Linked DNA regions of Schizosaccharomyces pombe. The protein of the gene in region 1 interacts with the protein of each later gene in a pairwise test. Each region holds a gene or a part of one and is shown on either strand. Other genes may lie near its edges.

Region 1 (13,786 bases):
TAATATTGATCTTAATAGATTATCATTAAGATCAATCTCCATATCGTATCATACATGGTACGATATATAATTAGAACATGTGACATATAGTGATACTCAACGTAGTGTATTATAGCGTAGTGTAGTATTGCTGACATTGCCCTCCCCAAGATTTTCTATGTAAATCTGAGGATAAGTCATATGTTCTCAGATATTTAGATTATTGTTTTTAATATAATCATTGACAATTGCTTTGTCCGCTTGTAGCGCTGTAGCTAATGTAGTCCATCCTGACATAATAGTACTCGGATTTAGATTCGAAATGTACTTGACATTTAAGTAGAGTACTTGTTCTCTGTTTTTATGTTCTAGGATATGAAGAATTGTTCCAATATCAGACTCATCAATGGTAGCGTAATTGAGTTCTGAATTATGTCGATACTTTTCTAGGTGAGAAACATGAAAAGTAGATGAAAACATGTGCTTGATTGAATCTGGAAGATCCAATTCATAGTTGTTTGGACCCGACTTCTGTAACACATAGAACGGTCCTGCAAAACTAGGTGCTAATTTATTGGATTTATGAAGAAAACCTGTTTTCGTTCTTTTGACCATAACTAGGTCTCCAGGTTGAAATTCTTCAATTTCTTGTATTTTCATATCGAAATACTTTTTCATCTTTATGTTGTTTGTATTCAAGTGTTCTTTAACTGTTTGAAATACTTGGATCGTTTCCTGAGAGTTTTCGTCAGTTTTGTCACTAAAGCTAGGTAACTCTAAAGGTGATAAAGCTGGTGAATAGCGATGTACTATCTCAAAAGGTGTCATTTGAGTTGCTGAATGTATCGCATTGTTGTAAGATTGTTGCACTAGGGATATATGATCTACCCATGTATTTGGATGTGTGCTACATACACATCTTAGTAATTTCTCCACAGTTTGGTTTGTACGCTCAGTTTGTCCATCAGTTTGTGGTCTGTATGGTAACGAAAATTTCATAACGAAATTATATTTATGTGCGAAATCTTTCCACGTTTGGGAAGTAAAAATATGATCATTATCTGCAATGATTTCTTTTGGATTGCCGAAATAAGCAATAACTCGTTGATCAAACATTCGAGCTGTTTGCTCTGCTGTAATGGATTTCGTACAAGGTACTAAGATTGCCATTTTTGAAAATCGGTCAACTACCACGAAAAGTGCATTATAACCAGATGATTCTGGTAAAGCTGTAATAAAATCCATTGATAAAGATTCCCAAGGTCTTTCTGATGGGGGAATTGGTTGTAAAGGTCCATAAGGTTTATGATTCCTAGATTTGTTTATTTGACATGTATGGCAGTTCTGTACATATTCTTGTATTTGTTTTCTTATTCCTTTCCACGTAAATCTACGTAATATAATGTTTGTAAGAAGTTCAATGCCTGGATGAATCAATTTACCTTCTTCATGATACTTTTTAATAATTGTCCTAGTCAGCTGAGTATCATTAGGTAATAAGATTTGGTCTTTACTGTTAATTAGTAAGCCATCTTTGAGTTGGATATTCTCTTCCACTCGTTTGTCTTCATTGTTTAGTAAATTCAACAATTTTGTATCATTCGTATATTCTGTAACCACTTGGTTTTTAAAATCATCGGTTATCGAGATTTGATTAACAAAGTTGATACTATTGTCTTCTGAATCTTTTGGAATTGGTTCTGTTTCGTCAACAATTCTGGATAAGGCATCAGCTATGTGATTTGCTGATCCAGGTCTGTAGTTAATTTCAAAGTTGAAGTCTTGTAAAAATAATTGCCAACGAGCTAAACGTTTGTTTTCAGGCTCGGATTCGTTAGTAATGCGACCAATTAAGTTTCGATGGTCTGTTAAAATTTTGAAAGGTTCGATAGTGGATTCTAAATAGTGTCTCCAATGTTTGAGAGACTTAATGATTGCAAGCATTTCTTTGTCCGATACGCTATAATTTAATTGTGCTTTAGACATCTTTGCTGAATAGTATCCAACAGGATAGTATTTATCATCATCATGTTTTTGAGACAATACGGCTCCTACAGCGACATCTGAAGCATCAGTTTCCAGTAGAATCTTTTTACTGAAATCAAAGTGTCGTAGCACCGGAGGAGAAACTAAACATTGTTTAATGTTTTCTATCGCTTGGGTTTGTGTTGGTGTCCATTTCCAGCGTACATCCTTTTTCAAAAGATTATTGAGTGGATGTGTTAATTGTGATGTCTTTGGAATGAATTTCCTAAGATAATTGACAGAACCTAGAAATTGTCGTAATTCTTTACGATTCTTAGGTTGCTTCCATTGTAAGACTTTGTCTATATTTTCTTGACAAGGCGTAAATCCTTTTTCCGAAATGTGATACCCTATAAATTTTACTTGTGATTGGTGAAATTCACATTTTGCTTGATTGATAATTAAGTTCGCATTTTTCAATTTCTGTAGAACGTCTTTAACATGTTTTACATGTTCAGATTCCGATTTTGAATGAATTAAAATATCATCCATATAACATACTACATGTGATTCTTTGGCTTCACCAAGTATTGTATTGATAAAGTATTGAAAATGTGCTGGAGCTGTAGATATGCCATAAGGCATTACTAGATATTCAAAAACTCCACGAGGACAGCGAAAAGCAAGTTTATGTTCATCTCCTTTTCTTACTCGTATCAAGTGATAGGCACTTTTGAGGTCAAGTTTAGTAAAAATTGTAGAACCTTGTATTTTAGCAAGTAATTGTTCAATAAGTGGTAACGGATATATATTGGGTTTGACATACTTATTTAAAGGTTTGTAGTCAACCACCATTCTCAAGGTGCCTTCCTTTTTCGGAACGAACATTACTGGACAGGCGTTAATGGCTTTAGATTCTCGTATAATTCCACTTTTTAATCCTTGATTAATTTCATCATTCATAGCTTGCATTTTTCCCGGTGGTAGCGGGTAATTTCTGATAGGTAATCTGTAGTTTTCTTGAGTTAGTTCAACTTCAAATTCTAACCCTTTTATTGGCTTTGGTAGCTTTTCCGTATTGGTTTCTGCAGTAATGTCTTTGAATTCTTTATAGATATCTGGTAACTCAGGTTCCTTGACAATATTTGAAACTTTGTTCATTTGAGAGAGCGTGTGTTTACTGCTAGATATTTCAATGTTATTGTCATATAATGTTGTGAAGGAGATAGCAGCTGGATGCGAAAATTTCTTTACAACCAAGAATTCTGTTTTGATTGATATTCCATTTAGACTTATGTTAAGTTTTATTGTTTTGCGATTAATCTTATTTGGATAAACTCCACCATATATCACACTTTTTGACCAGGGTCTGGTAGGCAGTTTATGTGCTCGAACAGTTTCTTCTGTTATAATATTTGCTTGAGCGCCCGTATCGATTAGACAGGGTATTGAGCACTTGAAGTCTGGAAGTTCAGCTTGTAATACCATTTCGTAACGTTTCCTAGTATGATTTAGGAATTTGTTAGATGAGTATTCTATTCTCGAAACATTTGTCTTCCTCAGGTTTCTGCTATTAGTGGTGTTATTTTTCTTTGAAAGGGACTCTTTTCCTAGATTTTTATTTTGCGGTTGAAAACGCTTGTGAGTTTTACCATACGAGGCTGTTCTTTTGTCCTCTAAAAAGTCATAAATTTCACTGATTTCTGATTTCCAGTAATTTCTTTCCTTTAATTTCCTTAAGGAATATGGCAGCATCCATAATATAAACAAGCGAGTATGGAAATCATCAACATTTGCTTTTGACATGAGTTTCCTTATAAATTGAACTTTGTCCAATTGATTTCTAAAACCTTCAAATGTTTTAGTTAAACGATCACCTTTGTTGGATCCTTGTACTTTCCCTGTTTGTCTGAGTAATTCTTGCCATGTAAGACTTCCATTCTCAGAAAACATGCGTTCAGCGAATTGTTGCTCTAATTCTTCTAGGTGATTCAATGTATACTGTCTTTTAGTATGCTCATTTGGGAATAATGAAGGGTATTCAGTAAAGTGTTGATCAAGTTTTGAAATGTAACTTTCAACATCCTTATTTGGATCGAATTTCCCTATCTCTGGTACATGCTTCGATAATATTTTTGCAAAAAGGTTTATTAAATGTTCGTCTGATGTTTGAATTCCATCCAAATTCTCTGGTCTCCATCGTTTTGCTCTTGCTTTCATATAACGATAATTTGCGTAGGACATTGTATATGTTTCCCTTTGGGAGATTTCAAAAGGGATAACAGTCCTTCCAAAGTTCCTTCTCCTTTGAACCCAGAAGGAGAGAAATATATATATTTATGATATATATTTATTCAATAATTCCTTTTTCCTAAAAGGAGTTAATTGTAGATCACAAGAGTTCAGTTATTGTAAGCTACGCAGTTTGGTATCTGATTTAAGGATACGTAGAACTGCGGTGAGTTTTCCTTGTGATCTATTATATTACGATACACAGGTTGTATAAGTAGCAACTGAGTATAGGTATTGTATTAACTGGGTTATAATGTTACCTATCACTAATATAGCTCATAACTGAACTGAGGAACGAGGTTCAGCAGTAGCTCTATTTATAGTATTCAGATAATATTGATCTTAATAGATTATCATTAAGATCAATCTCCATATCGTATCATACATGGTACGATATATAATTAGAACATGTGACATATAGTGATACTCAACGTAGTGTATTATAGCGTAGTGTAGTATTGCTGACAAAACAAAGACAGACGCGTTTCAAAATAAGATGTAAACAATGTTTTGCACTTGCACTTTGCCTAAACTATTTTCAAGGAGAGATTGCTTTAGAAGACTCTTCTGCAAGTCCTGGTATTAATTTCTAATGCGTGTACCTCGTATTTTAGTATCTTAGAATGGTTTAATATACTAATTTGACATTTTTTTTTATCTAAGTTACTAGGAGCCTTATACTGACTGATATTTTCTTATTTAATTCATCAACCAACAAATGACTTGAATGAATACGTTTGCCTCCGTTTTCAATATCGATAGGTCTCATCCCTTCTGTAAGGGGCGTGCACTATAGTGAACAATCCTGTTAAGTAGGATTATCGAACCCGACAGATAAAGTGTATATCGGTGATTAAAAAGCATTATGCCCAATGAGGCTGGAAACCGATTTGTGAACGGCGCAAGCTGGTATCGAGTATTTTCTCTTACATTATAGATAGGGAAGTGTATTAGATGCTGAATAACATCAGGAATTATCTAAGAGACATGCAAGATAAACATGAGAAACCGGCTAATATGGGATATTTACAACGAATCAATGTATCATTGATCCTTAAGGGTTTGATTAATCGGCTAAACGAAGTTATTTGACTGAATAGATAAAGTGTCGAGCATGTTGACATTGAGATCATTGTTATAAATAAAATAGATGGGAACGTCAATTAGTGTTATTGTTTTTCAAATTCAAGCATAAGTTGATTTCTTTGAATCTAGGCTCGTAAAGATTTGTAAAGTCACATACATCCCTCGATCCGATCGAAATCATACTTAACCATATAAACCCTTATTATTGAAAGCGATTTCTGCATATTTGGCTATCACTCTCAGTTTCACAGCCGAAAAAAAGTCTAAGAGATAAGGCGATAATTTGTTAATATTTTAAGTTGCTTTTTTTTTTTTTAATTTCTTCTTTTCTCTAGTTTCGCATCGTGTTGCTTTCTGTCTTGTTTATTTATAATCTTAGTTATCTAAAATTTATATATTTTCATATATATATATATATATATATATACATACGATATCCCTTAGCTAGCTGTTGAATATGGCTTATTATCCTCACCTTCCCTATCATCATCATCACCATACTTCCGTTCCCGGTGAACGCCTTAGCGATCCTTTGGATCCGCTGTCTGCAGACGAGCTAAAACTCGCTGTTGAAATTATCCGTCATGAGTATCCTTCCAAGCACTTCGCGTTCAATGTAGTTACTCTGGAGGAACCCCCGAAAGCGAAGTACTTGCATTGGAAATACTCCAAGGAAGACGCTCACAAGCCCGAGCGAATTGCGTTGGCTGTCCTACTCGAAAAGGGCGTGCCAGGTATTTTGGAAGCGCGGGTCAACTTGACTAAAGCAGAGGTTATTCAAATTGAGCATATTACTGGAGTTTGCCCGATCCTTACAGCTGACATGCTTGTAAATACTGAACAAATTGTACGTAAGGATCCTGCTGTTATTGAGCAATGTATTTTGTCGGGGGTGCCTCCTGATCAAATGGATCATGTTTATTGCGATCCATGGACTATTGGATATGATGAGCGCTATGGAAATACACGACGCATGCAACAAGCTATGATGTACTACCGTTCTAATGAAGACGATTCTCAGTATTCGCACCCCTTGGACTTTTGTCCCATCATCGATACTGAAGATCAGAAAGTCGTTGCTATCGACATCCCACCCGTTCGTCGTCCTCTATCTAAGCACAAGCATTCCAATTTCAATAAGAAGGATATTGAGGCCGAGTTGGGTAAGATGCGTGAAGTGAAACCAATCTCCGTTACCCAGCCTGAGGGCGTCAATTTCCGCATGAAGGGTCGTTACATTGAATGGCAAAACTTCCGTATGCATATTGGATTTAATTATCGCGAAGGTATTGTGTTATCGGATATATCTTATAATGACAATGGCCACATTCGTCCTCTCTTCTATCGTATGTCAATCGCTGAGATGGTGGTTCCTTATGGTAATCCTGAGCACCCTCATCAGCGAAAACACGCCTTTGACTTAGGTGAATACGGTGCTGGTTACTTGACTAATCCCCTTGCTCTTGGATGCGACTGTAAGGGTGTTATTCATTATTTAGATGCTCACTTTGTGAACAATACTGGTGAGGTGGAAACCGTTAAAAATGCTATTTGCATTCATGAAGAGGATGATGGTGTTTTGTTTAAGCATTCCGACTTTCGTGACAAATTCCGTACTACTATTTCTGCACGCGGCATTAGATTGGTAATTTCCCAAATCTTTACTGCTGCTAACTATGAGTATATGGTATACTGGATTTTCCATATGGATGGTGTTATCGAATGCGAGCTTAAGTTAACCGGTATATTGAACACGTATGCTATGAATGAAGGGGAGGATCTAAAAGGTTGGGGTACCCAAGTTTATCCTCAGGTTAATGCACACAACCATCAACATTTGTTTTGTCTCCGTCTTAATCCAATGTTAGATGGATACAGCAATTCGGTTGCTGTTGTAGACGGTGTAAGTGGTCCTGGTGAGCCTGGATCCAAAGAGAATTATTATGGAAATGCTTTCACCACTGAGCGTACGGTACCTAAAACTGTTAAAGAAGCCATCTGTGATTACAATAGTGATACAAGCAGAACGTGGGATATATGTAACCCAAATAAGTTGCACCCATATTCAGGCAAGCCAGTTTCATATAAGCTTGTATCTCGAGAAACTCCACGCTTGATGGCCCGTCCAGGATCTTTGGTATCAAATCGTGCAGGTTTTGCTCGTCACCACATCCATGTTACGCCATACAAAGATGGGCAAATTTATCCTGCCGGTGACTATGTCCCTCAAACATCTGGCGAACCAACTAAAGGTTTGCCTGAATGGATTGCTGAAGAGCCAGACGCTTCGGTTGATAACACGGATATCGTTGTTTGGCACACTTTTGGAATTACTCACTTCCCTGCTCCTGAAGATTTCCCATTGATGCCTGCAGAACCCATTCGTCTTTTATTACGTCCTCGTAATTTCTTCCTTCGCAACCCAGCTCTTGACGTACCCCCTTCGAAGAATGTTACTACCTCTGAGGTGAAGCAGGCACACCATCATGGTAATTTACACATGATGGATATGATGAAGAGTCTAACAGATGCCACTTCTGAATTTGCATTTGGAGAGAAATTTTGCGAAAAACATAAAGGTGATCACTTCTTTTAGAGATTCAGATATTGATTGAATGACCCGAAACCATTTTGGAACGTAGATGTACATATAATGAGAAAGCCATGAATCAGCTTTTTATTGGAATAAGAAGTGATGTTTAGTTTTTGGTTAATCAGTGTATTAAATACTAGCTAACTGTCAAATCCAACAATACATATATCATTATTCCTTAAATTTTCTTCTTAGTATTTATTATTGACGAAGTATTGAATGTGCTTAATCTTTACGAAATTGATTATACTTAAAACGTTTTATTAATATCTTCTACTAAGGCAAGCATAATCTATCCGCATTGAACTTAGTCAAGGATAATGCCTTTCCCAACCGAATTTAAAAATCAATGAGAATAACAAATATTGAAATTTCAATTGATATTGACAATAGTAATTACAGTTGTCTTCTTTTTCTAATATCCATTTTCCTAAAGCCAAAAAAAAAATAAAATAAAATAAAGTTAATTTATTCATATCCATCAAACGCGAAACATAATACACATCGTAAAATTCAATAAAATAGCTCCAAACGATTGGTATGTTGAATCGTTTACAGTTATTCTATGGCTGTCAAATTAATAGCCGGTAACATTCCAGCCAGATGATGGCAAAGCAGAAGTTGTATTGGTACTAGATAGTACAGTGGAAAAACCGCTGCTAGAGAGACTAGTGAAACTGCTTGTCGACACACTGGAAGAAATAGTGCTAGAAATAGAAGGGATTGAGGTAGTGGAGGATACAGCGCTAGGGCTGGATGAAGTCAAAGTAGTAGACGACACAAGGCTGGAGCTGGATGTAGTCGATGTGGTGGAAGAAGCAGCACTAGAGCTAGATGAAGAAGGATCGATATCAACTGGAATACATTGAGAATAATATGGACCATTGTAAATACATTCGGATCCTGGCTCACAGCAAGTTGGGCCATTGTAATTGATGCCGCCGCACTGTTGATATAACTTTGCACAGGGTCCTGTATAATCAACTGGGATACATTGCGAATACCAGGGATTTGAATAGATACAAGAACTACCTACTACACAACACGTGGGGCCATCATAGTAAATACCTCCGCAAGTCCCATATCTGGGTGAACACTGGCTTGCGCTTGTTTTGGAGACCAGAGACAAAGCTAATGTCAATACTGTCAAAAACAAACTTTGAGTAAGCATTTTAAACGAGAAAAACACAATACTAATAGACTCGGAGAGAGTAAATTTCTAAGAAAAGAATAAGTTCAAGGGTTACTTTAAAGTTGCAGAGAGATATGTTTCTATTTCTGAATACCACGACAAAACAGACTTATAGCAACAGTCGATCCTGACAGAGTCGCCTTGCCCATGACTTTTTATACATCACAGAAGTAAGACTTTCACAAACGTAGCAATACTGCAAGGCAGAAATGTAGACGTGATCACATGGTGGGCCACCAGTGTGCGAATGAAAAGACACTAAAACCTTCTAACGTTCCCATAAAACGATCCAATATTCTTTCAAATAAGATCATATTAACCTGCTCTTGCATTTCTAGACCAGGGCTCTCATGTCTAACCGTCAGATCAGGTACCCCTAAGACCGTGACTATTTGATTTTTCGAATCATACAACCTGCCTATTTTATCTTATCAAAAATTATCATACGAAAAGTGACAAGATGGTTAGACATTTGACCATTACGACTAACATCCGAAATCCGCTACAAAATACTACCTGTAAAGGTGGTTGGGATATTCACATCATTCCTCTAAGTATATTGTCTAGGTACTTTCTCAGGGAAAATGGTACATATTTATTGTGTTTGCAAAGCATCATCAACTGACATATTTTGATTTGTGAAAACACAGGGAGTATGTTAGGGGCATGCGGCAATGATTCCTGCAATTGTTATGTTATAGAACTTTGTCAAAATTGTATGGCATAAAGTTCTTTTGAACGAATTAGAATATTTAGGTCATCATCAATGTCAAAACAGCTTTACATCGGCCTTAACCTTCATTTTGCCGCGGTTAAAGAAAGTGAAGAATTGGTATTTTCTTTTATTCTAATCTATTACATTTATCATATATCGTTGATCGAATTGTGCTTTAATATTTTTTTCTTATTTTTATTTATTTTTTCTTATATATATATATGAACATGTTATTTGGGTTTTCTGCCTTTTTTTTTATTTATTTTATTATTTTTTTCTTAGGTCTTTTCCAAGGATCGAAACTTCGGCAGAAGTAGCGCATCATACGGTACTAAAAGTGGGCTGGCACAATCGACATTTTTTCAAAAAATAGCTGCCGATGAACCAATTAACAATTTTTATAGTAAAAATTACAATGCAAGTAGTATATGAAAACCATTAACATTAAGTGAATATTGTAAATTATAAACACATTCAGAATTAGGCTATAAAAAAGTTATAGTGTTCACCAGAACATTACTTCGTTAATATTTATCAAGGGAAAGCACTCTATTATATGATAAATAGATTTCCAGTTATAAGCGATGCAATGCAGTAATTGGGTTTTCCGAGATGCTTTACGTTTCCTTTTAAGACAAATTGAATTCAACATAGGTAGATGCATTCATGTAGGAGTACAGCTAACTCTTGCATTGGTTTTTAAAAAGCATAAAAAAGAAAAAGAAAAAGATATTGCTAATTATTACAATCGCCAAATTCATATAAATGCAAAAAAATAGTGAGTGCGAAAGAAATTCACTAAATAGAAAAAAATATTTTTTTGAGCATAATAAATAAGAGATTGAAATACTTCACTGTGAGTAAATAAGTTCGCAATGTAAATTAGAATTGAAATTATATATCTAATCAAAGACGTTTCATATGGAAGAACAGTGTTGAAAAACACTCAACTTCTTTCTGCTTGTCTAATTTTTTGGTTACGAATTTATCAATTTATTTTTATTTTATTTTTTTAATTTTTAGTAATGATTTTTAAAAGGTGGAAACCCTTGTTTACATTTTAGGATGTGAAAACAATACATAACTTATACTAGCACATCAGAAATTTTGTATCGACCGAGGGTAAAATTTCCTTCTTCTTATTCATTACTCTACAAAGGATTCCTCACTTTCTCTTGAAAGCGATTCACTTTGGATTTTTATACAGCTAGAATAGTATTTCAATTCAACAGCATAATAGATTTTGCGCATCCGAAGGAGCTAGTTGGATTCCAATAACTACCAATTTACAAGAGTAGAAATAACCACATTGAATTTGAGAGAGGCAAACCTGCAATCTATTTGAAAGCACTCTTTGATTTTATCTCAAGTCGAATGTGAAGATTCAATACCCATTGAAAGTTGGCCGTGAAATTCGCTTAAAATTTTCATCGCAGAGAAGAAACAAGGATGATATTGCGATAATGCAAAAGCTAGAAATTTTAGCACATACTAAGAACTTAATTCTTTCTGGTTATTTTTAGATTTCTTTTTTGACTATATTGCGTCCTTAAAATTTTCTAAATCATCTAGATAAGGCGAAAATTAACAATGGTTGCTCATTTTTAGTTCATCGGATAACTAAGGATGCGCAGTTACTTCTAAGCATCAAAGTTTGGGACTTCAAACTGTGATTAAGTGCAGCTAATTGTTATTAGAACATCACAAAACGTTTATTGAAAAAACGTATAGCATAACCGAGAAACACCTGATATAGTCCTAAATTTTTACTTTACCAACATGTGATGAATTCTTTGATTCCGTTCAGCCCAGTTGAAATTTCATTATTCCGTTTAGCCTGTTCCCCGTGCAATGTAGACCTAGTCTACGCCGGTTAGCGTTCCGAATAGATGGGCAAAAAATTTGATACTTCACAAAACACCAATTCCGGATCGACGCTTTTTAAATTGGTGGTAAGGTATCAACTATGGGGAATCGCTTGAATATTGAAAGCACAAGATAAATCTTTGTTTTATTATCTGCCACAATGTTTTCAATTCAAAGCAATTTGATGAGACACTAAGTTTTGTATATACAATTTTAATGATCTTAACAAATTACAGGAAGCGTTTTTTAACTCTAAAATTATGAAACTGAGATGCTTAGTCAGTATAATAAATATGCATCTCCATCGGAGATGCAAGAACAATAATTTGCATATTTGCGCATCAAGCTCTAGATTAAAAAAAAAAAGGGTCAAGATGGAATTATTGGACATTAAGTGGTTTACTAGCTATAGCACAAAATTTGTATAAAATACGATAGCTGACATTTCTGATCTTTCATTGATTTGCGAATCAGTTTTCCAAATCAAAGGTTTCTCGTTTCTATCACAATTTCTTTCACTAAAAATAACAGTGGCTTCAAAAAGTTGACAATATCTCATAAAATGTTATTGAGACTATTCGGTTTATGGATGTATCTGCTTCCTCATTACCCAAAACACAACTCAATTTCAAAAATATTAAAAATTAGAGTTAAATTAAGCCTCGTCTAAGCGAATCTATTTTGTTACTCTGAGCTCCGCATTCAACATTAGACAAATTAACAAAAGGAGGGTTCTATTCTTGTCAAGCGAAGTCCCGTGTTTACTTTGTTTCTTTATTTAGAAAAAAGATTTTTAGAAGGCAAAGCGTTATATTTATATATATTTAATATTTCGCTATTGCTAAAATTGGGGGTTTTCTTTTTTTAAGCAGGGCATCTGTCAAGGTTGTATTTCTAAAAAGCAAACAAATCAGTGCTTTCACTGAAAAGACGAAATTTTTTTTACCTTCGTTCTAATTTTTTTTTCTTAAGCTCTAAGTTGGTTTTACTTTAATATTGTCCACGATTCTTTACGATTCTTAGGTTGCTTCCATTGTAAGACTTTGTCTATATTTTCTTGACAAGGCGTAAATCCTTTTTCCGAAATGTGATACCCTATAAATTTTACTTGTGATTGGTGAAATTCACATTTTGCTTGATTGATAATTAAGTTCGCATTTTTCAATTTCTGTAGAACGTCTTTAACATGTTTTACATGTTCAGATTCCGATTTTGAATGAATTAAAATATCATCCATATAACATACTACATGTGATTCTTTGGCTTCACCAAGTATTGTATTGATAAAGTATTGAAAATGTGCTGGAGCTGTAGATATGCCATAAGGCATTACTAGATATTCAAAAACTCCACGAGGTTCAGCAGTAGCTCTATTTATAGTATTCAGATAATATTGATCTTAATAGATTATCATTAAGATCAATCTCCATATCGTATCATACATGGTACGATATATAATTAGAACATGTGACATATAGTGATACTCAACGTAGTGTATTATAGCGTAGTGTAGTATTGCTGACATTCTCCTTTTCTTACTCGTATCAAGTGATAGGCACTTTTGAGGTCAAGTTTAGTAAAAATTGTAGAACCTTGTATTTTAGCAAGTAATTGTTCAATAAGTGGTAACGGATATATATTGGGTTTGACATACTTATTTAAAGGTTTGTAGTCAACCACCATTCTCAAGGTGCCTTCCTTTTTCGGAACGAACATTACTGGACAGGCGTTAATGGCTTTAGATTCTCGTATAATTCCACTTTTTAATCCTTGATTAATTTCATCATTCATAGCTTGCATTTTTCCCGGTGGTAGCGGGTAATTTCTGATAGGTAATCTGTAGTTTTCTTGAGTTAGTTCAACTTCAAATTCTAACCCTTTTATTGGCTTTGGTAGCTTTTCCGTATTGGTTTCTGCAGTAATGTCTTTGAATTCTTTATAGATATCTGGTAACTCAGGTTCCTTGACAATGTTTGAAACTTTGTTCATTTGAGAGAGCGTGTGTTTACTGCTAGATATTTCAATGTTATTGTCATATAATGTTGTGAAGGAGATAGCAGCTGGATGCGAAAATTTCTTTACAACCAAGAATTCTGTT
Region 2 (11,378 bases), on another chromosome or scaffold:
TAGCAAAAAACAAATAGTCGTCTCAACAAGCATTTGTGATCCTTGTATAATCGTTGTCTTTTTGGGTGGTGGAATCGCTCTTTACAAAATGGATTTAAAATCCCAAAGGCTGATCAAAACGGATTTACAAAATAGACTTTCGGATGTTAAGACAGCTTCTTTAGTTTCCCCTGATAGTTCTGCACTTTTTGCAAAGCTTTTTACCTATAACGAAACCCTTAACGCCAAGGGTCAAATAGCCAATGGAATGAATGATTCAGCTTCTGAGACAGATTTGGATATTCAACCTAACCATAAAACAAGTAATAATGATCAAATGGGGTATGATCAGTCAGTAAGTGCTGATGATGTTCCTGAGGTTGACAACACCATCGTCACTGAAAAAAATGTTAGTAATTTAGATCAGGAGTCTCTGGAAAAACATCCAATATTATTTGCTTTGACTGATGAAGGTAAATTAAAAGTTTACAACTTGGCAGATTTTTCCCTTTTAATGGAGTGCGATGTTTTCGATTTACCACCTACATTATTTAATGGGATGGAATCAGAGAGGACCTATTTTAACAAAGAATCCAGTCAAGAACTTGTTGAATTACTTGTAGCAGATTTAGGTGATGATTTCAAGGAGCCACATTTATTTCTCAGGTCAAGACTAAACGAGATTACAGTCTACAAAGCATTCTTATATTCTAACACTGATAAGCATAAAAATTTGTTAGCTTTTGCTAAAGTACCACAAGAAACAATGACAAGGGAATTCCAAGCAAATGTTGGGACTCCCAGAGATGCAGAATCTACAATGGAGAAAAAGGCTTCAAGCTCTGTTGATCATTTAAAAATGACAGCTTTAGAAGTAGTAGGCAATCACTCCGCAGTTTTTGTAACTGGGCGGAAACCCTTTTTAATTTTGAGTACTCTTCACTCAAATGCCAAGTTCTTTCCTATATCCTCCAACATACCAATTTTATCTGTTGCACCTTTTCATGCACACCATGCGCCACAGGGTTATATATATGTAGATGAAAACTCATTTATTCGCATTTGCAAATTTCAAGAAGATTTTGAATACGACAATAAATGGCCTTACAAGAAAGTTTCTTTAGGAAAACAAATCAATGGAATAGCCTATCATCCTACAAAAATGGTTTATGCTGTTGGAAGTGCCGTACCGATTGAGTTTAAAGTAACTGACGAGGATGGAAACGAGCCTTATGCGATTACTGATGACAATGATTATCTTCCAATGGCCAACACCGGTTCGCTTGACCTTGTTTCCCCCTTAACGTGGACTGTTATAGATAGTTATGAATTTCAACAATTTGAGATTCCCTTATCGGTTGCTTTGGTTAACCTTGAAGTTTCTGAAACAACTAAACTGAGGAAGCCATATATCGCTGTAGGGACCTCTATCACCAAAGGTGAAGATATTGCTGTTCGCGGATCTACATATTTATTTGAAATTATTGATGTCGTGCCTCAACCCGGGCGACCAGAAACTCGTCATAAATTGAAATTAGTGACTAGAGAGGAAATTAAGGGTACAGTCGCGGTGGTATGCGAAGTTGATGGGTATTTGTTGAGTGGTCAAGGCCAAAAAGTAATTGTACGTGCTTTGGAAGACGAAGACCATTTGGTTGGCGTTTCTTTTATTGACCTTGGGAGTTATACATTGTCTGCTAAATGTTTGCGAAATTTGTTATTGTTTGGCGATGTCCGACAAAACGTAACGTTTGTCGGTTTTGCCGAAGAGCCATACAGAATGACTTTATTTTCTAAAGGTCAAGAAGCGCTCAACGTATCTGCTGCAGATTTTCTTGTGCAAGGTGAGAATTTATACTTTGTAGTGGCCGATACATCTGGAAACTTAAGATTACTTGCATATGATCCTGAAAATCCCGAATCTCATTCTGGTGAAAGACTTGTAACACGTGGAGATTTCCATATAGGAAATGTAATTACTGCTATGACGATATTGCCAAAAGAAAAAAAGCATCAAAATGCCGAGTATGGTTATGATACGGGAGATGACTTCTCTTGTGTAATGGTAAATAGTGATGGTGGACTTCAAATGCTGGTTCCGATTTCTGATCGGGTGTATCGTCGTTTGAACATTATCCAGAACTACCTTGCCAACCGTGTTAATACGATAGGCGGCCTAAATCCCAAGTCCTATCGTCTCATCACCTCCCCATCCAACTTGACTAATCCAACTCGACGAATTCTCGATGGTATGCTCATCGATTACTTTACATATATGTCAGTTGCTCATCGACATGAGATGGCTCATAAATGTGGTGTTCCAGTATCCACTATTATGAATGATCTGGTAGAGTTGGATGAAGCTTTAAGTTATATGTAATTGGGCGTAGTTATTTAAAAATTTTTTTTGCATATTTTTGAAACTAAAGGATACCATGATCTATAGCAGGATGCACTTAACAAAAACAACATAAATGATGGCAAAAGTAATAATGCAAATATTGTAAAAGGATGCTTTCATTATTAGTGTTTGAAGCTCATTTTCTCGCGAAGATTGACGTACCATATGATTTGGTAAAAGAGTAATTTACTTAACATTAGTATAAAAGCATCCTATACTTTGTATATACATGTTTGTTGACAAGGATATGATGAGTACAAGGTATGTTAACCACTGATCATTTTTACAGGCTAGGATCCTTATATATAAATACCAAATTCATATACGGTCAACGGCTTGGGAATTTTCAATTTCATTCAACCTGTGAATAGGTTAGCAAACGCTTTTATGCATTTCATTACCTATTATTATTCCTCTATGTGTTTATCTCCCAGGATAGCAATATGCGATAATTCTGACAATTATCGTGTATATACAAACAAAATTGTTAACTTGTATAAATGATCAAAATTATTAATAAAATAGATCAATTGAACATACGTGCATCATTTAATTAAGCTAGGTTATTTCATCGAAATTATTATACTATACAATATTTTATTTACATAAGACATCAATAAGTATTACAGTAAACGCACCTACATAATATTATATATGGATAGCATGAAAAATCAACGTAGTAATTTGGTATTCATAAAAAGACCTTAACATACCGTGTAGCTAATAACACAGTGCAATGTATTGTCCTGTATATTTCAATACCTTCATCTCCGTTATTCAAATACGCATAAGGTAAATCTGCATCACGTAGTAAATTGGTGAAAAGAATCAGTTAGTCATTGCTTTTCTCATATCCATCAGTCTCTCTTTTTTTAATGTTTCGGATTATTAGCAAAGCAACGTTGTTTCAAGATTCACAACGGTTCCACACTTCTATACTGTCGCCCAGATGTGCATTTCATAATGGTGGAATTTTGCATAAAAAAGCTAAGGATAAAGATGTTAAGCATGATCACGATCCAGAATTTGCTAATTCATTTAATAAAATGTTGAAAAGCTTTGAAGCAAAAATGCAATTGGTTCACGAAAAGTTGGCTAAACGATTTCAAGAGGCAGTTGTTTTACCGAGTCAAGGAAATTTCACTCAACTAGAAGCACTTTTCATACCATCCAAAAGCATAAAAGCTCCTACTCCTAGTCGTCTGCTTCGAGAAATTGCAGCTGTTAGTCAGAAAGGTTCTCAGCAAATTATTATTCGTCCATTTGAAGACGTTGACATAAAAAACATCCTAAAAGCAATTGAAGATAGCAGATACCCGTTTGTAGCTAATAAGCTGAATGCATCAACAATTGAGGTGAAGCCACAACGAACCACTTTAGAAAGTCGGCAGCAGTTGGCCAAAGTATTAGAAGGATACGCAAAAGATAGTCGAGAACAGCTGTCTGCAATGCGAACTGAATTAAAAAAAGAGATTGCAAAAAATAAGAAAAGTAAAGCTTGGACGTCCGATGATTGTTATAAAGCAGAAGCGGAAATGCAAACAGCTTTTAAAAATGCCATCAATTTGCTTGATAGCGGTTTGAAATCAGCTTTGAAAAAGGTAATATAATCTCAATTACGCCAGATTTAATATCTCTTTGTGATGTATATTCATTTCATAGTAATTTTATAAACACGACTACATTATGTTTTCGATATACCGAACAAAATTGTTGAGTAAACTCAATTAGAGGTAGCTAAAATGAATGTGAATCTATTATTTACCGAGAAAACAGTTATTGCCTGAATTGGAGGTGCCTATGTAATGTATAAAATAAAATAAAAAAAATAAGTGAAAACTCCTAAGTCAAAAAATAGCAACAAAATGACTGAAAGTGCAGTCTGATAATAAACAATGATCACAATAAATATTACAAACGGCATGTAAAGCGGGGTTCAACTTACCAAGACAATTGAAATGAACCGGAAAACGTCTATAAGTTTATCACAATTTATTGGAGGAAAATAACACCAAAGGCTCAAGCAGTACGCTGTATCCTACAAAACAAATAGCCTCGTCTAGTCGTATATATAAATCTTAACAATAAGGCGACAACAAAAAAGTCAAGAGCATATTTTTGAGAGAACCGATCAGATATGATTAAAGTCGTAATTTTTGCCATGCTCTACTCTAGGACTTTACCGCTGCGAACTTCCTTTCCAGTTTTTTTAATCGTTTGTTCTACGAGCTCATATGGTTTGTCTGTGGTAACGATAACCTCTTGTTTTTCGACCGAAATGGATTTGTCTTCAACACCTACTCGACATTACTTAATTAGTACACAGATTCATCAACAAAATTCCTGAAAAACCATATATAACAAATACTTATATAAATGTAAATCTAAATACTTAAAAAATGACTTTTTTTAAAACGCACCCAGACGAGTTAAAACGCGATCGATGGCATTTTTGCAGCCATCACAAGCCATAGCAACGTTAAATTGGTACTTCATTATCAGATGATCAAAAATTCAACGAGATTTGGACAAGAAACTGTTAATTAACTTTTTTGTAACACAAATAAAAACAGTATTTAAAATTCAAGAAAATCCCAATTTTAAGAATTACTTTAGATGAGAAGGAGGGAAACGATAAGTTGGAAAATCCATTAGTAAAAGCATTTAGACGTAATGCAAGGAGGTATCCTTAAAAAAATAACGAGAGAGATATATTTGCTATAGATGTGTGTCAGTAATAATGCACTAAGCTATGATACACTATGTTGTGTATCACTATTTGTCATTACTTTGAATACTATTTAAATTCGCTTTTGAAACATGCATGAAGGAATTTCCATTTATTAACAAGTATGTAAGCTAACAAAACAAATTCAAAGAAAAAATTTAATAAAGTTTGCGCCTAAAATTGCTTCCTTACTTCAATGACTAGTTACTAACAAATTTCTAATAAAAATAATTATAATATTACTTACTCATACATATTGCATCCGCTTTTTGTAGATTGCAAACAAAACACACCGTAGTTTTACATATCATTAAATAGTATACCGAGATACGTAGCTGATGGTTGTATCCTTTAACGAAACCATAAAAATCGTTATAAGGGTTTTATGAGGTATAGAAATGTTGTCGTTAGTTTAATTGATTCAGTAAACAAGAGCAATGCAAGCAGTGGTAATGGATGTTTCATAACGATGTCAAACACTGAGAAATTAACAATAAAAAGAAGGTGAAAGAAAATAAAAAGGATCCCGGCTCATTGACGACTTTCAGATGATTTTGCTAACTCTTCACATTCTTTACAATACCAGATCCCCTTCGGTGGTTCTACTAGACCAACGCAAGGTAAATGGAACCATTCTCTTTTACAATTTTCGTTATCACATCCAATCATTTGTCCATAGGAAACTTGTTGACAGTAACAGTAAAGTTGCTCACCTTCACGGCTGATATCACTTGAATCTAATGTGTCGTGTTTGACAAGTGGTTCCCCATTTGTCTGTTTTAAACGAGATTCTGATCTCCGCACTGGTCGCCTCTCCGTAGATTGCGGCGCATGCTTTGTACTCGATAATGGAGGTGATGATGATTTTCTAGGAACAGCATTTTTTCGACGCTTTGTAGGGGTGTGATAAGAAGATTGCGGCGATGAAGCGTCTTCAAAGTTGTTATATGAAGACGACCGTTCCTGAGAGGAATATTGCTGGGAATGCTGGTTATTTTGATGCCGACGGGTTTCCCGTCTCCTTTCAGAAGTTTGAGGAGTCACAGTAGAATGATAATTCATTAAAGCTCGATCGTCTGGATATCCCAATCTCAATTGTTGGGGAATCTCCAATTCAACATATTCAAACCCAGCATCCAAACGGTCGATACAACTCTTGATATTATTCATTGCGTCTGTGGCCAAACAAATCTTTGAATCAGAATATGGAAGTATCTCTTTTAGTGTCTTTTGTAATCGCTCACATCTTTCTTCTCCTGACAATTCGTCATTTTTCTCGTTTTTTAGAACCACACCAATTTCCTGTATGACATTTTGACGGATATCTAAGATTTTGTTAACCACACGTTTTAAAAATATATATTTCACTTACCTCGTACTTGTGCATCGATCTCTTTCAAACTCGTGAATTTTCCACATACTGATTCAGGGACTGAAACAATGGCTGTAAAATGTTAATCAATGTGTTTATTTTCGCCTCTTACCATCTGTGAAATCATTTAAAGCTGCAAATATTTCAATTCCACTCGTCCCCATGATATTGACACTAAGCACGTTACGTTGTGCTGAGTAGGAAATGTATGTCCCACCTACTTCTCTCACTTTACTACATCCCTACGTGAAATAGCAAAATTGTATGTTTAATCTATTGATAGAAAGAAGTGATTCTATTATAAGCGACGCGTTTTAATGTACCAGAATTCTAGTATAATTTCAGCACTGCTTTGAACTGTAATTTTTAACGACATTATGTTAGTTCAGGTAATATGAGCCTTCTTGTTTAACCATACATTTCCAAATAATCAATTTATTTTAGATATCGGTTCTACTACTCAGTTAGTTGCACCTTCATTATAATAGCAAATTTTGGATGTCCGAAATATTTTTCCTTTTCACAACCTTCAGTGAATTCCAGATAATTGAGAAGTACATATTAAAATTCTTACCCAAAATAGACCGAGATTTACTATATCTTAAAGCTCAATACATTCTTATTTTTCCATTCTTCTCATTTGACTTACATACGATAGTGTATATACCAATATCAAACATTAACTCAACACGCGTAATCTCAAAATTTTGCAAGTTGGATTTACTATGTATAGCTATTAATGAAAATAATGATAGGCGTAAATAGTATGGTTTATTAAATAACGGAAGCTTTCTCTTTTTTTTTTTCGAACATTCATGTGCTATTTTCCTTCCCTAAGTCTAGGGCCATAGCTTAGTATTGTACATATTAAAAATTGGAACAACCGTTCCGCGTATTAGCCTAATTATTGAATTAATTCCCGATATTGTCCGTTTCATGTTCCTGTGGCTTGTTCCTCGGACGCGTCAGCGTGCCATTTTAATATATACCAGCCCTCCCATTTCTATGTAAATATACCACACGACTATTCCTTACACACATTATGAATTCTCTACGTTCAGTAAAACGGCTTTTAGGTGCTCGCTCTTTGAGCTCTGATGGGCTCTCTGAAAGCGTTAATTCTTCTGATCGAGAGGATAGCTTGAGCTTTCAGACTCCTTCAACCCCTTCTGAAGATGAAATGCCACAATGTTTTGAAGATTTAATCAAGCCTCAAGTTCTTTCTTCAGAGGCCTCAAAGAGTTTACTTTCCCTTAATGAAGGAATTAAAATGGAAATCGTGTCCAGTTTACAGCAAAAAGACCAGAAAAAGCGAAATAAATTAATTGCTTGGATGCGTAAAAAACCATGTTACGAGCAACCTGACGACTTTATTTCGTATATTGTAAATACAAAAATTGACTCAATCGATGAATCTATCATACACAAATTAGCTCTACTTCTCAGAAACGAGCAAGTAATGTATGTTTACATTTTGTGCAGCTACGTGAATCAAAGTGGTGATGCTTAAATTATCTTTTTTTTTGGCACTACTATTGTTTTGATTGAATGATAAATCATTCGTTTATTTTGAGGTTTTTCATACTAACTGCAATACAGATGGGTAGAGAAGTTTATACACAACGGCGGTTTCGGTGTAGTATTTTGTACAATCGACAAAATCTCTCGCCTTGAATGGAGAGAGGAACTGCACGATTCTATACTGGAGCAACTTTTACTTTGCGTTAAAGCCATGTGCACTGTTCAGGTATGCATGTGATATACATTTAGACCTATGTCTTCATTGCCTTTGACAATTGCTAACGTTTTTCCTAGCGCGGATTGGAATGTTTATCTCAATCCACTTATAATGTCGAGCGATTGATTTCCCTTTTGCTTTCAAAGAAACAGCCATGTGATTTTGTCGTAAGGGAAGTACTCGTTCAAATAGTTCACTCCTTTTACAAAGCTCATCTCGACAAAGAAGAAGGTGCAATGCAAGTTTTTTCCTTGTTTTCTATTAAAGACGATAAGGATGAAGAGGTTGAATTCTTAAAAAACGTTCGAGTTGATCGACCTTTTCGCCGTTGGATTATCGAACTTGAAGATGTTAGCCGTAATGTCTTCTGGGTGTGGAACCACGATTCTAATGTCATTGATTTGGAGAAACAATATAATCAAGTGTACGAGGCTCCATTGGGGTTTATTGGTGGTATAGAAACCGAAGCCACCAGCTATGTTGCAGCTCACATCCATCTTATTAATGAATTACTCGAAGGCTTACCTTTAGAGAAACGTCAAAGAAAACGTTTGGAACTCCAGCTAAGTGGATTAGAAAGAATCATGGGGTTACGGTTTCGAAAGAGCAGGTAAGCAATTTTTTTCAATATTTATATAAGCAGGCACTTACAAATCTAGTCAAAAATTCCATAAGAAGCTACATGAAGCCCTTCGTGAATGGATAGTGGCTGCTAAAATTGATGATTGGCCATACAAACTTGTGCAAACTGGATCAACCTAACTTTACCCTAATTTTCTATGCACTACAATCATCCTATGTATATAAAAGACACTAAACACCTTAATCATTTATCAAAATACGTCTTGTCATCTACTTTACCTAACCCAATATTGGAATACTCATCGTACATTATATATTAATCGCTTAATTTTTATTTATCAATTATGGGCAATAATAAAGGTAAATCCAGAAAAGTCGAGACTTTCGTCATTTACCAATTGCAATGCCCAAGAAACATTTTCTTTATTAAAATGCTTGGATTCCCCAAATACGTTTGTAAATTGTTGAAAAAACATTTCATCCAAGATTTCAAAGACTTCAACACCTTCTGGATTAGCAACGGCTGGATACCCTTCCACAAGCATACTAATTGAGAAAGGTAATTTTTCAGAAATAGATAAACAATATACACAAATCAATATCATTAAAATATCCTGCTCATCTGTAGCGACCAATGCTTCAGCATCGGTTGAACCATAGAGACTCTCAATGGCATGCGAAAGTGGTGCAAACAAAGGATGTTGCAAGAGGAAAATAGATATCGAATTAAGGATGAGATATTGCAAAAGGTTTGGAAGAGGTTTGTAAGTTTTTTGGAGTGATTCTTCCATATAATTTTTGACATAAGTGATGGAGTCTTGAAGAATATTAATCTGACTATCGCGATAAATTTTGGCCCAAACCTGCCTTTCAGAGGTCGGAGATACTTGCGGATTTGATTTTAACAAAAGGTCAGCTCTAGAGTCGATGTACATAAGTAAAACTTCCAAGGACTTAATCTGGCCTCGTAAAGAAGGGACATAAGAAGCTAGATCACCCGTCAACAAATGCGCTGTCAATTTTCGAAGTTCAAGAGAAGAGGCAGTTACAACTGCTAAACATTGAAGAATCTTTTGAAAAATTTCCTTATCTGGGGACTTTGGCAAAAAAAATACTAAATTGCTCAACTGAAATTGGCAATCATTCTCAAGAATGGCAGCTTTTTGATCTTTATGCGGTAAATCTGGATGAATAGCTACTTTTAAAGTCACTGTATCAAATGGGTTATCAGGTAAGCAAAACCCATAGCCCATTAGTAACTCTTCGTTGCCCTTTGGACCGTAATTATTAAACAGCTGGTTGCCTTTTGCAACCAACTCTTGGGAAATTAATTGAACAGATTTTTCATCTTGAAAATCACTATTCCACAAAATTGGCTGCTTTGGTTTATGATTCAGACTGTCAATGAGAGGAAGAAGAATGGGAGTAGACTCTGAATCCTTATATATTAGATTGGATGAAAAACATCTAGATGAGAAAACAGTGGCAGACCATATATACAAATCGAAGGTAAATCTTTCTGTAGGAGATGGGTGCAAACTTAATGCTTCTTGATACTCATGCTTCCAGATATGCAAACGCTCCTGAGCAGCAGAGTACGCATTTGTGGATATCAAAAAGGCGTTATCATTTTCGTTAAAATAAAGAGGGGTGTTGAATGTTTTAGGTAGATACTCAATGTACCCGTACCACTTACTTTGTATACCCTTCAAGCTCTCCAATGCTAAAAATGTACAAAGTGTTATATGAGGATTGCAACTCTCAAAATTTGGATTCAATTTTTTTAATTCCTCTTTCGCCTTGTTATATGTTATTGCATACTCAAAAGGGCAGGATATAAGTAATTGATCAGGTGCTATATCGTTTTGTGCAACAGCAATATAACTACCAAAACAAGCGTTATCGTCTCGACTTTGGATAAATTCGACAGATTTATGAAGCTTGCAGCCATTTTGCAAGGCTTCGTGTAGTAATTTCTCCATTAAAGTAGCGTTCGTATAAAAGAAGTAAATTAGAAAAAAAAAAAAATTGTAAAATTCCAATAATCAAACCATCAAAACTGATTTTTGCTTTTTAAAAATGAAAACAGACAAAAGAAAAGTGGAAGATAAATTATACCATAAAATTAAAAAGTGGTAGCAGAGTGCCGCCTGGCTTCGCCTATTGCTCAAAGGTAAGGATTGAAATACCCTGAAACCGCATTTGGGTGTTTCTCCCACAGTTTTTAATGCGGATAACCGCCATTTGTATTGTTACAAAAAACTGTATCGATGCTAATTAGTTTAAAACGCTTGTAGTAATTTGCAATTGATAACAATTTGAAGTCTTTATACTCATAATTAGACTACAGGAAAGCGTTGTCTTTTAGAATTTAGCGTATATTGTGATTCGTGAATACATTACCCTCATTTTTTGTAAATCAATCCAGTTTTACAAATACCTTCTTTAATTTTTTCTTTTTTTTTCTTTTTTTTTGTTTACAATCGTTAGCTATTTTCTTGAAAATAGGACATTTGCTGAAAATGGATTTTCATGCGATTTCTCAACGTTTCATTGATATGATGAGAAGCAAGAATTC

Evidence for each region.
Region 2: the proteins of cao1 (region 1) and atx1 interact in a two-hybrid assay, tested with the Schizosaccharomyces pombe proteins (one study listed by BioGRID).

The regions. Positions count from the first base shown.
Region 1 is NC_003424.3:2,927,018-2,940,803, forward strand, and holds cao1 (Cu(2+) amine oxidase Cao1), read left to right. Parts: upstream 1-4,754; 5' UTR 4,755-5,779; coding exon 5,780-7,918; 3' UTR 7,919-8,098; downstream 8,099-13,786. Other genes in the region: Tf2-3 (retrotransposable element/transposon Tf2-type), read right to left, coding at 187-4,188; cbm1 (cellulose-binding domain-containing protein), read right to left, coding at 8,493-9,086. UniProt on the Schizosaccharomyces pombe protein: Copper amine oxidase involved in the metabolism of xenobiotic and biogenic amines. Capable of catalyzing the oxidative deamination of primary amines such as ethylamine as alternate sources of nitrogen to support growth.
Region 2 is NC_003423.3:1,115,306-1,126,683, forward strand, and holds atx1 (Cu chaperone Atx1), read right to left. Parts: upstream 5,017-11,378; 5' UTR 4,877-5,016; coding exon 4,801-4,876; exon of another isoform or gene 4,683-4,800; intron 4,678-4,682; coding exon 4,547-4,677; 3' UTR 4,082-4,546; downstream 1-4,081. Other genes in the region: mRNA processing protein Cft1, read left to right, coding at 1-2,359; translation termination factor Rrf1, read left to right, coding at 3,256-3,990; chromatin modification family protein Png2, read right to left, coding at 5,640-6,433, 6,481-6,552, 6,593-6,644; GTPase-binding protein Rid1, read left to right, coding at 7,523-7,941, 8,080-8,227, 8,296-8,828, 8,878-8,980; ribosomal lysine methyltransferase Set10, read right to left, coding at 9,139-10,782; ngl1 (peptide N-glycanase), read left to right, coding at 11,323-11,378. UniProt on the Schizosaccharomyces pombe protein: Shuttles copper to the transport ATPase ccc2. Protects against oxygen toxicity.